Linked DNA regions of Coturnix japonica. The protein of the gene in region 1 interacts with the protein of each later gene in a biochemical or structural test. Links are inferred from orthologs where the notes say so. Each region holds a gene or a part of one and is shown on either strand. Other genes may lie near its edges.

Region 1 (7,617 bases):
TGGATTTGCTCCAGTTTTTATAGGTGTCTATCCTGAGCCCAAAACTGAACACAGTTCTCCAGATGCAGCTGCACAGCTGCTAATACTGTCAGCAGTCTTGCAGTCACAGTCCAGGTTGCAACTATCCACCTTTGCTACAGAGGTGTGCTGCACACACAGGTTCACCTTTCTCTCCCATGGTTATATACAAATATAACACATTTTTTATTTCACTCTGCTCACTCAAGTTACACAGCCTCTTAGCCTCATATGGCTCAAGGTATTTACCTATTTTCTATTGGTATTTTCTGCATTATTTGATTCCTTCATTTTCTGTAGGTCAGCCGGCAAAATTATGCATCGAAGTTCAACAGAAGAGGATTCGTCTTCAGAGGAAGAAATGGAGTGGAGTGGTAGCAATATGCTCCTAACTAATCTCTCTATACCTCAGCTGGATGGGACTGCAGATGAAAATGGTGGTAAGTAAACAGACAAACAGCTTTGGGAGTTGAATTGCTACCTGAATCATAATTTGACTTCAGATCAATTGGCTAATTCTTGGATATACAGAATGTCTTTGATTCTTGTCTCAGCTAGGAGGAATTCTTTTCAGTGGATTTCAGAAGCAGGCCTTTAACATCTTCCTTAAAAGTCAACAATATTTTAATCTCAACACCCACAGTAAATTACCAGGATCTTTATTTCCTATTGTACTAATGATTCAAAAAACAGTATTGTTTAATTAGTTTTGTGGATGAATTCTTTGTTGTGAGGGTTATTTTTCTGTTATGATTTGTTGTGCAAATTTGGTGCTGAAATTAAAGATTCTGTAGGACCATTTATCCTGCTGTGATTTTGTTGTAAACAGTAGTTTGTGTAAATTTAGATGATTAACATTACTTTGCAAATATGCACCACCCATGCTGAAGTACATAGAGCCTTTGAGTCTGTGTCTCATTCAGCAGGTTGCTTGATCACGTTCTGGAATAACGTGACTTAAAATTATGCAGTACAAGACTGCTGCAAAAGAAACTGCCTTTCAAAAATCTATAAAAATAAATTAATCTATAAAGATATATTTTGCTATCTCTACAACCCGCTGTCTCCGTTCAAAATAGCTTTGGTTAATAGAAGGCATGTTCTGAGGTTTGGCAAATACGCAGAGGTTGTTATTTGTTCTGTTAGACGAGCTTCATAATTTCACATTTATAAACAGAGAGCAAAAAATCAAAAATGCACAGAACCCACTGCGGAGGAAGGGGAAATATGTCTGTATCCTGAATTTTCTCAGTATTAAGTTCATTTTTGTTCTTGGTGTAATCAACAGTAATTGTTGTCCTTTGTTTAAATGGCATTGTATTACCTTTAAAATTTTAAATTGTGATTAGCGTCATTTTTGTATATAACCTTTTCTTAATCCATAGTAAAAATCGGGTAGTGTAAAAATCTTGTTGGTGATCATGTATGTACCTAATTTTCTATTGCTGCATTTGCTCTTAGGGTAAGGGATGTAATCCATTACTAGTTATCTATTAGTTAGTATCTCTTATAGCTATTTGACAAAGTAACAAGCAGAAGATAAAATATAGATGTCTTAATATAATAATATAAACAATTCCATCTTGAAGAAAATGAACTATATGATTTTACTATATAGACAACCAGAACCATTCTTTCATGATTGCTGTTTCAAGCATAGTTTTTTTATCCTTTGCTTTTGTAAGTATAAATGGCAAGGCTAATACATTACTTGATGTACTACTCATATGACTTCTTGCAAAATACACAATTGTAATTTCCTTATTTGCAGTACTTTGTAACTTCCTATAAAAAGAGATGCTTCTGGCTAATGAGACTGTATCTTGTAAAACCATTTAAACTGTAGAATATTTCAAATATTTTTATTACTCACATGGAGAAAAAGAAAGTCCTCTTAAAATAGGCTTATTCTCATTTAATCAAACATAAAATAACTTCTACTGCATACCCTTCTTAAAACAGGAGAATTTTTTTAAAAAAGAAGGGAAAAAAAAAGTTTCTCCACACATGAATGTCAGAGTCTGTAACATCTGACTGATTTATAAGTATTTTTGCAATTTTCATATGTGAATAATCAGGTATCTTCCAAATGTTCACTTGACATTTCACTGAACTCCCATTTTCTCCGTCCTCCATTAATCATCCTCATTCTTTGTGTAAATGCTTCCTCCTACACCCAAAGAATCACAGGCTGTACCTCCCAGCTGTGTTTCACAGCTCAGTGAGTCTGGGTTTGCATTAGAAAATGTTATTAGAAACAGATTGAGACTTTCTTTTTTTTTCTTTTTTTCATCTGGCTACAAATAAATTGTGAAGGTGAGGGCACTATGAATCTTGGATAATCTTCAAATTGGTTTAGACTTAAAAGGTGAAAGCTTAAAGGATATCCCACATAGTACAACAGTTTGCAACACATACTTTCAAGTCGTACAGCACATTTCATAACTCATGTTCCCCTTCAGTATTTCATCTGGAGGTTTGGACACATGAACAAACCAACACGTGTCCCCAGCTCTATAGTATCTGTCTCTGGAGTGGAATAAACTCCTTGAAGTTGCTTGGTGCTCACTGTAGTTAAGAAAAGCACACGATTACTGCAGAGTAGTTGTTAATGTGTTACTTACCAGGTGTCTGCACACACTTATCCTGCAGTAAATGTAGTGAAAGTAACAATGGAAGAGAGAAATAGTCCTATTTATCACACCATGAGTCTTCACTGCACAAGTACCTCAGCGTGTGCTGGTTGTAGAACTTTGTGGAAATAGTAATCATGGGTATGAATTCATGATCTAACTAAATGGAGCAAGCTCCTCATATACACACCTGAATGGGTGTTGGACTGCTCTGCTTTAAAAGTACAGCAAACTGTCTTACACTTATTGCACAGGATGGTTGATACAAAGCCCTTGCTGTTGTAAGATCATACTTTGCCTGTATGTTATTTTCCTTTTCAGAAGCAGGAAGCATGCATGCTTCTCAGGGACAAAGCAGGATACAAGCTTTTTTAAAAGTTAATGTCTTTGTATTTAGCTTTCTGAAAATGATTTCTGAAGTTTTCTCTAAGCAAATCATTGAGAAATCTATGGGAAATGTATTCAAGTCCTTAATTTATAAGTAACTGACAGAATATCTTAAGACACAAATGTATTAATGATGTAATTTTGATAAAGTAACTCATGTACTTGGAGCCTGTAGTTGTCATGATCATAATTGGAATGTGAGTTAGAAGAGTACTGTTCTGGTATGGGGGGGCTATTGTGAAAATATCATTAAAATAATTAATAGCTTAGTTATTCTTTTTTTACAGGAAAACTAGAGTAAAATTGCTTGTCTTCCATTTCAGACAATCCTTTGAATAATGAAAGTTCTCGAACTCACTCCTCCGTCATTGCAACAAGCAAAATGTCTGTAAAGACCTCAATCTTTCACAAAGATGCTGCTACGCTAGAACCCCCGTCTTCTGCTAAAATTACTTTTCAGTGTAAACACACAAGTGCCCTTTCTAACCACGTTTTGAATAACGAAGATTTAGTAGAAGACCTCTCGCAACCAAACACAGAAACAAGACCTGAACTTTCAGTTCATTCTCTTACAAAAGAAAGCACTTACACAGCAAAGTACCCAACATCATTCAGCAATAGTACCCATGCAGAAAATTCACATAAAGAGAGTAACAAGAAAGATACTCTCCCAGTTCCTTCATGTGAAAATAATATTTTTGAGTATGAAGATGATATTTCATCAGTCAGCAGACAGATACCTAGCAGGAAGTATACTAGCATCAGAAAGACTGAGAAGGATGTCTCTTTTATGCACGTGGGCCGCCACATTGGTGACAGCATATTGAATAAAAATTCTTTTAACTTTTCTGATTTGAGCCACTCTGGCCACTCCAAAGGTAAAATATCCTCTGAACTAAATGAAAAAGCCAGCAGCGCAAGTATAAATAGTTTTTTTCCAGCAACAGTTACAGAAAATTGTGAATTGGTGTCCTGTTCAGGAGGCAGCCGAACTGTTGTTCATTCACTTGAAAACAACACTGATGAAGGTGGCCTTAATAAGCTTAAAATTAGGTATGAAGAATTTCAGGAGCATAAAGCAGAAAAGCCAAGTCTCAGTCAACAAGCAGCACATTATATGTTCTTTCCTAGTGTTGTTCTTTCAAACTGTCTTAGCCGACCACAAAAGTTAGCTCCTGTGACGTATAAATTACACCAAGGCAACAAACAGTCCAGGTTGAAGCTGAATAAAAAGAAATATAGTTTTATCAATCATCAGGAGCCCGCAACTGTGAGTGATGTTGTATCAGTGAAGGAAAGCTGCTATACACAAGGTAATGCTTGTAGTAATATTCCTGATAAGGATAGTGCTTTACCTAGCGACTTAGTCCAAGTTCCTCTTGAGGCTTTTGAAAACAAAATGCCTACAAGTACTGCTCATTGTACTGACTGCCAGATGGGAGATGGATCTCTTGAAACTGAGCAGTCGTTTGGATTATGTGGAAATAAATACACACTCCGAACTAAACGAAAGGTAAATTATGAGACTGAAGACAGTGAATCAAGCTTTGTCGCACACAACTCAAAAATTAATCTACCTCAACCAATAGATAGTGTTGAAAGTTTGGATGGGTCTCAGAAGTCTCGAAAACGTAGAAGACTTTCTAAAAAACTGCCACCTGTTATTATTAAATATATTATCATCAATAGATTTAGAGGGAGAAAAAATATGCTTGTTAAACTAGGGAAAGTAGATTCTACTGAGGAAAGAGTGGTACTCACAGAAGAAAAGATGAATTTATATAGAAAGCTTGCACCTTTAAAAGACTTTTGGCCAAAAGTTCCTGACTCTCCTGCAACCAAATATCCTATTTATCCACTAACACCAAAGAAAAGTCACAAAAGAAAAGCGAAACATAAGTCAACCAAGAAAAAAGCTGGAAAACTGCAAAGAACAGGTAGTAAAAATAATATTAAAAGAACTTTATCTTTCAGGAAAAGGACTCACACAATTCTTTCTCCTCCTTCACCATCCTATAATGCTGAAGCTGAAGACTGTGACTATAACTATAGTGATGTTATGTCTAAATTAGGTTTTCTTTCTGAGAGAAGCACAAGCCCAGTAAACACATCGCCACCTCGCTGCTGGTCTCCCACTGATCCAAAAGCAGAAGAAATTTTGACCAACCTGGACAGAGAAGCTTTACATAGTAGGGGTAGTATGTACAACAACAGGACTGTTAATTCTAATGTAGGAAAAAATAGTCGAGCAAAAACTCAGGTTAAGAAATGTAAAAAGAAATTTGCTAGCCCCACTGTATCTACAAAGAAAAAGAAAAAGATGAATCAGAGTGATAAAACAGCAGATGATGGAAAGAAGAAGCCTAGAACGAAACAAAGACAGAAAACAACAGAAAAAATGTCCTCAAGAAAACGCATGGTTTTTAAAGATGAAAAAGGAAATAATCATTCAACCACAGAAGTGAAGTTTGTGCTGAAACATCAAGATCTGCCTGAGATGTCTTACAACTCGCAGCCGCTTCATCATCGGAGAGATGGTCCTCTTCCTGGCTTTACAGCAGGGTATCTGCCATCAGCACCATTTCCCTCAGCAGCTGATACACAAGGTAATTCATCAGACTGTTTTCATTCATTGATGGAAGTTGATAAGCCTTTAGATGCACAGTGTTTGCCTGCTCCACGAGAAGACCCTCATTCATCTCTCACATCAACTTCTGTGGCATCCGGAAGAGAAGTACTGAAAGTGAGCTCTCAAAGGCCCAGGACTCAAAGTGCTGTATTTAGAATGAAGGAATCTGCTCTTGTTAAAAACATATTTGACTCATCTAATCACTCAACTCAGGTAACACAGAATGTGTGCATCTCTAAAGATAAGACCCTTGTAAAAGCAGAAGAGATAAAAAATTTGCAACACAGGTATTTACCATCAGCTGGGAAATTAAGTGAAGCTCGTGAGTCTTCAGACTCAATGAAGGTGGATCAGTTGCATTCCACTAGCTATTTGCATTGTAAAGACAATAATCAGCAGCAGATTTTTTGTATACCAGAGGCATCCAAGCATTCTGATCCTTCTAATTCTGTTCCTAAGTCATCTGAGGAAAGTCCGGGGCCTCTTCAGTTGCCTAAGAACTGTTTTGTAACCTCTTTGAAGAGTCCAGTGAAACAACTAAATTGGGATCAAAAACAGAGAGGATTTATTTTGGAAATGTCGCATTTTAAACCTGAAACTGTAAAACAGAAGTCTCTGCCAGAAACAACGACACAACCAAAACCCATTTCCCAATATAAGAACAGGACTATAGTGGCCCCGTCAGCATTTAGTGAAGGACAGTCTGGCCTGGCTGTTTTGAAAGAGTTGCTTCAGAAGAGGCAACAGAAAGCTCAGAATGCAAATGCTACACAAGAACCATTACCAGTTAAAGCACAGCTAAGCAAAGGTACCCCATGCCCTCCTGAACAGAACAAAGCAATCAAAAGGTCACGGTCAGCCACACCTAGGAAACCACGTACTCCCAGGAATACAAAACCTAAAGAAAAAACACCCAAACTTTCAAAAATGGAGTCTTTAAGCCAACAGGTCACTAGTCATGCTGATCATTCTGTGTCTGATGATAGCCCTATATTTTTTTCAGACCCTGGTTTTGAAAGCTGTTACTCCCTTGAAGACAGCTTATCGCCAGACCACAATTACAACTTTGATATTAATTCTATAGGGCAAACTGGATTTTGCAGTTTTTACTCTGCAAGCCAGTTTGTCCCAGCAGATCAAAATTTGCCCCAAAAATTTTTGAGTGATGCAGTTCAAGATCTTGGTTCTGTACAAACAACAGAAAATGACTTTCTATGTCGTAATGACCAAAAAGCTGATGAAGAAAAACAGCATTCTTCAAGCACAAGCAAGTGGATAAGACCTGGTTCTCTGAGCCCTGAGCTTTTTGAGAAGACCTCCCTGGATAGTAATGAGAACCACTGCCATAGCCAACGGAGGAAAAACGTTCATCCTTCAACTTCTAGATCTAACTCTGTTGATACCTCTTGTACACAAGAGACAGAGGTCTGTCTAAATGAGAAATTTAAATTGGCTAGAAACGCAGTAAATAAAGAGAGATTTCTTAACCTTCCTCAGCCAACCAGCACAGATTGGATTCAAAGCCACATTAGAAAAGAAACCACTTTTGAACCCTGTCAACCACTTGATTCAGTTAATACCTCTTTTACATCTGTACTGTCTTCTCCTGATGGTGAACTCATAGATGCAGCCTCTGAAGATTTAGAATTATATGTTTCAAGAAACAACGAAGCATTAACTCCGACTCCAGATAGTTCACCAAGATCCACCAGCTCTCCCTCACAGTCAAAAAATGGAAGTTTTACACCTCGTACTGCTCACATTCTTAAGCCGCTTATGTCCCCACCCAGTCGTGAAGAAATCATGGCAACTTTGCTGGATCATGATCTCACAGAAACAGTTTATCAGGAACCATTTTGCAGTAATCCTTCTGATGCTCCAGAAAAACCAAGGTACTGTTTTAAAGGCATTTCTGTCTACATATGCTTGTAATTATATTAAGTTTAATTT
Region 2 (8,387 bases), on another chromosome or scaffold:
GAAGTTCAAAGTATAGTTCCAACAAGTCCTATTACATTTACTAAAGTATTCTTCCTTATATAGAGGAACAGATGCCTTACTTAGAAAGTCACTCTCTCATATTTTCTTAAGCTGTTCAGTAATTATAAGAAAAATTCGCATGCCTGTTCTGATAAAGAATCACCATTCTGACGATGGGATTCCTAACATGCATGGGGATGCAAATGAAGAAAAAATGCAGAAAGTTTACTTTTCAAGAGGAAATGAAGGAATGATTCATGGTGGGATTTTTTTTGCTTCACATATTTCTAATGCAAACACTATGTTTCACAATTTATTTGTCTCTCTAGACATCATAATTCTGAGGCAGTTCTCAAGACACAATTACTCAAACAAGTCCATCTTTGTTATGTATCAGAAAAGACACAACAAAAAGCAAGCACAAATAACAACTATAGAATCATAGAATCACCAAGGTTGGAAAAGACCTAATAGAGCATCCAGTCCAACCATTCACCTATTACCAACAGCTCTCACTAAACCATGTCCCTCAACACAACATCCAAATCATCAAAGTCATTGTAATTGTGCAACAATACTCTATGAAAAGCCTTTCTGACACTATCATGGTACATTCAACCCTGCTAACCCACCTACAATATTCTTTTGTACCTCAGTGCTTAATGTCACGACAGTCTAACTCTCTGCTGATGTGTCTGTTCAGCCTGTTACTTAGAAAAGACCTGTTTTTAATTTAAACTGTGGTATATCTCTTAATAAGTCTAAACTACCTAAGAACTGTATCATTTTCCATTAATTTATTAATACGAGAACTTCAGATATGACAGGGGCTTGACACAAACTGGATTAACATTCATCTTTCTAATCATCAACCTTCAGGTGTTTCACTGGGGACTTAGAGCTGGATTCAATGGTTTTCATATCACCTATTACCGTGACATCACTGAGCACTACAAAGTTTTCAAAGCATGAAAGGCCCATTTAAGTCCTGATTTTACTGATTCTGTAACGGGATTCCTGTCTTAAACCAAAACCCTTCAGATTAATTGTTCATCAATTAAGTTGGCTTTAGCGTAACAACAGCAAAAGGTAAATCAAAACAGTTATTTTTCATCCAGTGTTAGATAAGGAGCTCCATTCAAAGATGTTTTGGTACTGTCAATCTATGTTATCATTTCAAATACAAGTACCAACACCTATGCGGTAGTAGATATCTGCTTCCTCCAAAGCAGAGAAACGTTGAAAGAATTATTATGTAAACAAAAGTGACAGCTTATGTATACAGTTCATATTCCATAAATTATAGAAACTAAACTAGAAAGAAATGACACGCATTAATGCCCCATGTTAACTGCTGAATAAATATGCATGATTCTATAGACATGCTCATACAATCAATGAAGGTGCACCTTCACAAAATGCCTTACCATGAGAAAAAACTTTCATTGTGCCACAAATACGCTTGATTTTTCCCCACAGTCAATGAAAAAAGTCTTATAAAAATACCAGTGTTTGCATTTATAAAGAATACTTATATACAATTAGAACTATACCCACAATGTATTAATGTGCCCCCTGGCTTCTCAAAGGCTTGTCAGTGCCAATATGTGTACATATGCGCTAGCTCTCGGTGTTCAGAACAAGACTGATATACCGTGGAAGAAGCTCTCACTTTATGTATGAAATGTGCCACATGTACCAGACATAACGATATTAAAATGATATTACAATGGGAAACACCCATGCATAGACAAAAAGACTTCAGTGCACACACTTTTTACATCTCTTAGAAAAGCAGCCTCTATAATCAAAAATATTTAGTTCAGAGGAAGAAAATTTACCTACAACTTGCAGGGTGCAGGCAGGAAAATAAGCATACAGAGTTAAAAAAAAATAAACAAATCTTCATACAGTTGATTTCTATCACGAACTTTATTTTCTGATTTCAGACCAAGTATCTCCTTCATTCTGGAACACGTTTTAAGAACTGGCAAAGAAATGCATCTAAAATTCGTCTAAACTCAAGTACTCGGTAAAACAAACTCGCTGCAGTTCAAGACTAAACTGAAAGGATGCAAATAATTCATGTGCCTGGTGCCATCTCCTGGTAGCTTAGAGATAAAACCATCAGAACACTGAATGCTGTTTCGCAATAGTAGCTTTTTAAACTCCCCAAATTCACAAAAGCTGTTTCACTAGACAAGAAGGCCACTATCAAGACATAGCTTCATTCATGCTAAATGATGTTTTCACATCGGATTAACACTTGCATAACGAAACGGAGATTGTAAATGGCTGGGCTGGTTCAGGAAAAGCCTTTAGCCAGGAACAACCCACACATCGTTCCCTCCCATAGCACACAGAACTAAGCAGATATAATAAAAAAGTAGCAATTTCACTAGAAACCGTGGAAGTTCAGCTAATTGAGAAGGGCCTCAGCCCACCAGGAGTTAAGACAGCATCCAACACAGGATCTACAAATACCACAATATGGACTGAGGGAGAAAGGGAGCAAAAAGTCAACAAACAAGCTCAACACTCACCATCAGTATTAGGCACAGACAGTTTCAGATGGGCAGCATTATAAACCCCCAAAGGCAACTCAAAACAATATGCAGAAAATAAGAGGGATGAAGGTTAAAGTACTAGTTCTATGTGCTAGTAAGTAGAGAAGCTCCCCCTAAAGTGGGGAAGGAAATAAAGGAGCTTGAGATCTACCAGAACAGGAGAACTAGAGCTCTGTTACCCACAGTAAGATTTCCTTCCTCTGCACAGGAAGAACTGGATTTTGCTGAGACTTAATATGACAATTTGTTAATGTGATAAGAGGGCTTTTATAACAAACAGGACTTTTATTCTACAGACTGTTTTATTCTGCTGGCAGGAGAGACCTGTCCACAACGACCCGAGGGTTAAAAAACTAAACAAGAACAAAAATAAAAGCCCCAAACCTGGGAAGGAACTTTACACATGGATTATTTCTTCTTGTCTGCTGAATGACTACAGGAGCATGACTAGAGTTGCCTTAAAAAATTTGCAGGAGCAGCAGTGATCTGGATTGTCACAGGTTCATTAACAATGGCCATGGGGAAGCAATCATTAAATGTTGCAGAAAAGCCAAGATAAATAGGGGATGTTTAATTCCACAAAAAGAGAATAATAAATATATATATGTGTGTGTCATATCAAAATGTAATTGAGAAACACAGCAATGACTAAAGAATCATAAGAGAACCAAATTAAATGCAACTGGGATTTCACATTCCTTCTGAAAATTAAGGCTTTAGCATGAGATAATTAAAGCAAGGACGGCCAACTCGTGATGTGCCAGAACGTATAACTCAGTCTGTCATCTGCATTGCCGAGTCCCCGCGAGCTGCTCAGGAAGCGGGCTGTCAGACACACCGCTCCCTCACCCACAGCACTATCCCCACTGCTCCCCGTGACAGCCCCACAGCCTCCTGCTTGTCACGCAGCTGGACATGCCCTAAATGTGAACTACAGGCATCAGCAGCACATGGAAAAGCTCCTCATCCGCCTCTGCCAAAACACGGAGAAACCAATTTGTGTTGAAGCAGATCAGCTACCTGCAACGGGAGACCCTTAAGAATCCACCAGAGCGCTGAGGAGCCGCACTTCGCTTCTATGAGCGCTGGGTTTGTCTATTCCACCGGGTCTAACTACAATGGCGCAGCGGAGGCGGCTCGTAGGGAACCTCGGAGGGAGAAAAGCACGAGAAAATCCCAGAGTGGGAAAGGAAGGGCTCTGAGAGCGCTCTGGGACGGGAATAGCGCAGGGGCTGAAGGAGAATAGCGGGTATTAACAGCAATCCGACTGCTAAACGCTGAGCGGGGCGGCTTTCGTACTGAGCACAACCAGAAATAGCCCAGAGAAGAGGCAGCACCTCCATAAGGACACACGCACCCAACGGCACCTGACGGGACGCACCCACACACCGCAAACCCCGCCCGCCAACGGCCGCACCCCGCGCATGCGCAGCACGGCATCCCGCCTGCTCAGCCCTCGCAGTCGGCCGGAAGGGGCGGGGCGTGATTTGAAGCGGGCGGCGGGCACCGCCATGGCCGCGCAGCTGGGCCGCGAGCAGCAGGGAATCACCCTGCGGGGCAGCGCGGAGATCGTCGCCGAGTTTTTCTGTAAGGGGCTGCGGGCCGCCCAGGGGTGCGGGGAGACGGGGGCGGGTTGGGGGGAAAAAGGCGGGCGGGCGGCTGGCTCTAATGCCGCGGCCGACATGGCCGCCTGTAGGGCGGGAGGGGTGGCCCCCTTACAGAAGCCTCCCCGCTTTGTGCGCGCAGCTTATGGCATCAACAGCATCCTGTACCAGCGGGGCATCTACCCCCCTGAGACCTTCACCCGCGTCCAGAAGTACGGCCTTACCCTGCTCGTCACCACCGACCCCGAGCTGAAGAACTACCTCAACAACGTGGTGGAGCAGATGAAAGGTGAGACCTGCCCCCCCCCGCTTCCCGTCCCCTTTTCTCCTTCCCCTTTTTCTCATACAGCCGTAGTAAATGCTGCGGCCTCTTCCAGAGTGGCTTTATAAGTGCACCGTGCAGCGCCTGGTGGTGGTCATCTCCAGCATTGAGAACAATGAGGTACTGGAGCGGTGGCAGTTTGACATTGAATGTGACAAGAGCGCCAAGGGTGAAAGGTGAGTGACAGCGTTTCTGTGCCTGCTTCTCCCTGTTGGGAGACACAAGGGAAAGACCAAGTATGGTAGTGCTACCTCTGTAACCTAAGAGCTATCTGACGTTACCAAATAAAGCTGTGGGTGCCATTGATGTGCTCCAGGGACTGGATGCAATCCAGGGGGACCTGAACAGGCTGAGCAGTGGGCCCAAGTGAGCTTCATGTGATTCCACAAAGCTAAGAGCAAGGTATTATACCTGGGTTGGGGCAACCCCTGCTTTCAGTACAATCTGGGGGACATAAGAATGGCGCACAACCCTGCTGAAAAGGTCTTGGTGGCAAGCTGGACATGAAGCCTGAAATCATAGAATTACCCAGGTTGGAAAAGACCTTGAACATCATCAAGTCCAACCGCAGCCTAACCAGTACCCTGACTCTAAAAACCCTACACTAAATCATATCCCTGAGTAGGGATATGACCTAACAGCCCAGAAAGCCAACTGTATCCAGGGCCACATCCAAAGAATTGTGCATGGTCAGCAGGGTAAGGGACGTTATCCTGCCTGTATGCTCTGCGCTGGTGAGCCATCACCTGGAGTACTGCATCCAGATTGAGAATTCTCAGTACAGGAGAGACATGGAGCTGTTGGAGTGTGTCCAGAGGAGGGCCACAAAAATGGTCCCAGGGACAGAACAACTCTCCTGTGAGGATAGTCTGAGAGAGCTGAGGTGTTTAGCCTGGGGAAGGCTTAGGGGAGACCAGAGAGCAGCCTTTCAGTATTTTGAGGGGGGGCTATGTGAAAGAAGCTGACAGACTTGTCAGGGCACAGGGTGTGATAAGAGTGAAGTGTTTCGCTAAAAGAAGTGAGGTTTAGATTGGATATAAGGAGGAAATAAGTTTTTTGGCTTGTTTTTGTTTGTTTGTTTCTTTTTTTACAATAAGAGTGGTGAGGCACTGGCACAGTTCATCCAGAGTAGTAGTAGATTCCCCATCCTTGGAGCCACTCAAGGTCAGGCTGGCAGGACTGAGCAATCTTGTGGATCTGTAGGTGACTGTTTATTGCAGGAGAGTTGGAATACATAACAATTAGAGGTCCCTTCCAACTCAAATGATTCCATCATTCAGTTATCAAAATGTTTTGTAATCTGCAACTGAACAAAGTCCTGTATTACTGCTCTTCTGCTGTTTTGCCAAAACTCTCACCCAACCCAGACAGCAAATATGTCCTTAAAAACACTGCGAGGTTTCACAAACAACAAATTGAAAGTTACAGTTTTGTGAGCCTAAGGCTTGAAAGAATGCTTCTGCATAACCATACAGCAAACATACCCCACAGCAGTGCAGCAAGAACTGTGTTTAAAGAAAGCTGTCAGTATTGGAGGTGCAAGTTGTTTTCTTAAAGAGTTTTCTCATTTTTCCAGCGCACCCCGAGACAAATCTCAGAAAGCCATTCAGGATGAAATTCGATCTGTTATCAGACAAATCACTGCCACGGTAACTTTTCTGCCTCTCCTGGAAACTGCCTGTGAGTATTTGTAACTTCTCCGAAAGAAATGACACTTCTTTCAGAAAGCCTGAACTAGCATTTGATTGTAGAAAATCTTTTCCACTATTCTGTTTTTATTATTATTATTTGAAGTGTCATGTATTGCATTTCTGGGTATATGTTTGGTTAGACCAAGACAGTCTCAGCTATGTACAGTATAGAAGCAGCATCAGATAAAGTACTCTAAGTATTGTCCTGTACTGCTTCTTGTACAACAAACTGAAAAAGAACTGCTACTGTAAATACTGTGCTCTCTTTCAATCAAGCACTTGGAGCAACTTCATTGGAAGTTAAACTCTTAAACTCGTTTTTTCCCCAAAAGGTGCAATTCAAGGTGATTTAAGTAGCTTGAAGAAACTTGGTGTATCTGAGGACCTACAGCTGTCATAAATATTGCGACTACAGGAATGATAACTAGTATTTGTTTTCATTCCTTTAACTGCCATTTCTTTTTCTATAGATGCCATAACTACTGATAACCTTCTTGCATGTCTCCATGCGTTTTAACTTCAATTATGGTATCATTCCTATGTGTGTAGCATTAACTTTTTCCCACCTGCTTACAGGTGCCTTTGACTTGCTGATTTACACAGATAAAGATTTGGTAGTGCCAGAAAAGTGGGAAGAGTCAGGACCACAATTCATTGCCAATTCAGAAGAGGTTCGTCTTCGTTCCTTCACTACCACGATCCATAAAGTCAACAGCACGGTGGCTTACAAAAAGGATTCTTTTCCTTAAAACTGTTTCTTGTACATATCCTGTCCTCTTGTATAGTGTCTGTTCATAGAGCAGCTATGTTGTGAACACATGATTGCTCTTGCTGAATGTGCAGTATTGTGCCTGATAATGTGGTGTAACACTAGATTAAGGTGGCACTGTTTGAAGAGCTCTGAGGTGTTCATGACAGTATTAGGCCTGTTTTTCATGCAAGGTCTGGATTTCATGACCAGAAATAATCCATATCTAATCCCAAGATTAATTCTAAAGTTTTTACCATAAAAGCAGCTGATGAGCAGGAAAAGGCCCGAACAGATGAAACACAGCATTTTGAAGAACATGAGACTGCAGTTCTGGAGAGGGTGCTGTTCTGCATCAGTGTGTCTTGTCCTTCTTCAGCAGCTGCACAGCATTTTCTATGTCTGTATTCTTGTTTTATGGAATAAACCTTGAAACTGTATAGAGTTCTCCTAGTCACAGAATGTGGGAATTTGTATTTTAGATGTTAGAATTCTGTATAGCAGCAGTTCAGGCTAATGCCGCAAGTACCTCAGTCACAAATCAAGTGCTTTTGTCAACGTGAAATCCATGAAACTATTCATTAATTGTAGTTTGTCCCCACTCGTGCCTAATACTGTTTGTGGATGATTAGTGATGACTCTATCAATTTTGCGGAATGGTCCTGTAAGATCACCTGGTTTCAACCCCTGCTACAGGCAGGGACACCTACATCTCGATCAGGTTGCTTAAAGCCTGTCCCAGCTCCCTTCCAGGGAGGAGGCATTTACAACCTCACAGGGCAACCTGTTCCAGTGTCTCACCGCCCACACAGTGAAGAGTCTCTTCCCAATATTTAGTTTAATATTACCCTTTTACATCTTAAAGCCATTTCCTCTTGTCTTGTCACTACATGCCCTTATAAAAAGTAATTCCCCCTCTTTCCTGCAGGCCCCCTTTAGGTACTAGAAGGCTGCTATCAGGTCCCCCCCCTGGAGCCTTCTCCAGTGTGAAGAGCCTTAATTCCCCATAATCATTAAGCACAGCGTTGCCTTCTAAATTAGTATCAGACAACAGGCCAGCTGAAGAAGCTCCATAAAAAAAATTTACACTAGCATACACTGCTTTCAGCATTCCCAACAGTCACACTGGAGTTACTTAGTACTTAAGCACTTATGGTTTGACTGATACACGAGTGGTACAATACTATCATTTAAAAAGAGTTTATTTTAAAACTATTGATTTTGTAATATTGCTGCAGAGTGTAAATAATGGGCTTTCCTACCAGGAAATATCCATCCCCACAGCAGTCCCATTTTAGAATATTAGAAAGACACTATATAAACCAGTAAGACAAATCATACTGCAGCTAGACTGTATTTAACAGAGGAATAAGCCTAGTACTTCCCTCTGCCTGTCAGTGGTGTTGTTAAGCAGCTGACTGCACTACCTGCTTACACCTAGAAGTAGGTGCGCTT

What was found.
Region 2: the proteins of REV3L (region 1) and MAD2L1 form a complex in vitro, tested with the Homo sapiens proteins (2 studies listed by BioGRID). The link is inferred for Coturnix japonica from reciprocal best matches to the Homo sapiens genes REV3L and MAD2L1.

The regions. Positions count from the first base shown.
Region 1 is NC_029518.1:60,206,059-60,213,675, forward strand, and holds part of REV3L (DNA polymerase zeta catalytic subunit), read left to right. Parts: intron 1-318; coding exon 319-458; intron 459-3,361; coding exon 3,362-7,559; intron 7,560-7,617. UniProt on the Homo sapiens protein: Catalytic subunit of the DNA polymerase zeta complex, an error-prone polymerase specialized in translesion DNA synthesis (TLS). Lacks an intrinsic 3'-5' exonuclease activity and thus has no proofreading function.
Region 2 is NC_029519.1:48,823,381-48,831,767, forward strand, and holds MAD2L1 (mitotic spindle assembly checkpoint protein MAD2A), read left to right. Parts: upstream 1-4,016; 5' UTR 4,017-4,078; coding exon 4,079-4,154; intron 4,155-4,313; coding exon 4,314-4,460; intron 4,461-4,548; coding exon 4,549-4,669; intron 4,670-6,069; coding exon 6,070-6,173; intron 6,174-6,760; coding exon 6,761-6,933; 3' UTR 6,934-7,381; downstream 7,382-8,387. UniProt on the Homo sapiens protein: Component of the spindle-assembly checkpoint that prevents the onset of anaphase until all chromosomes are properly aligned at the metaphase plate.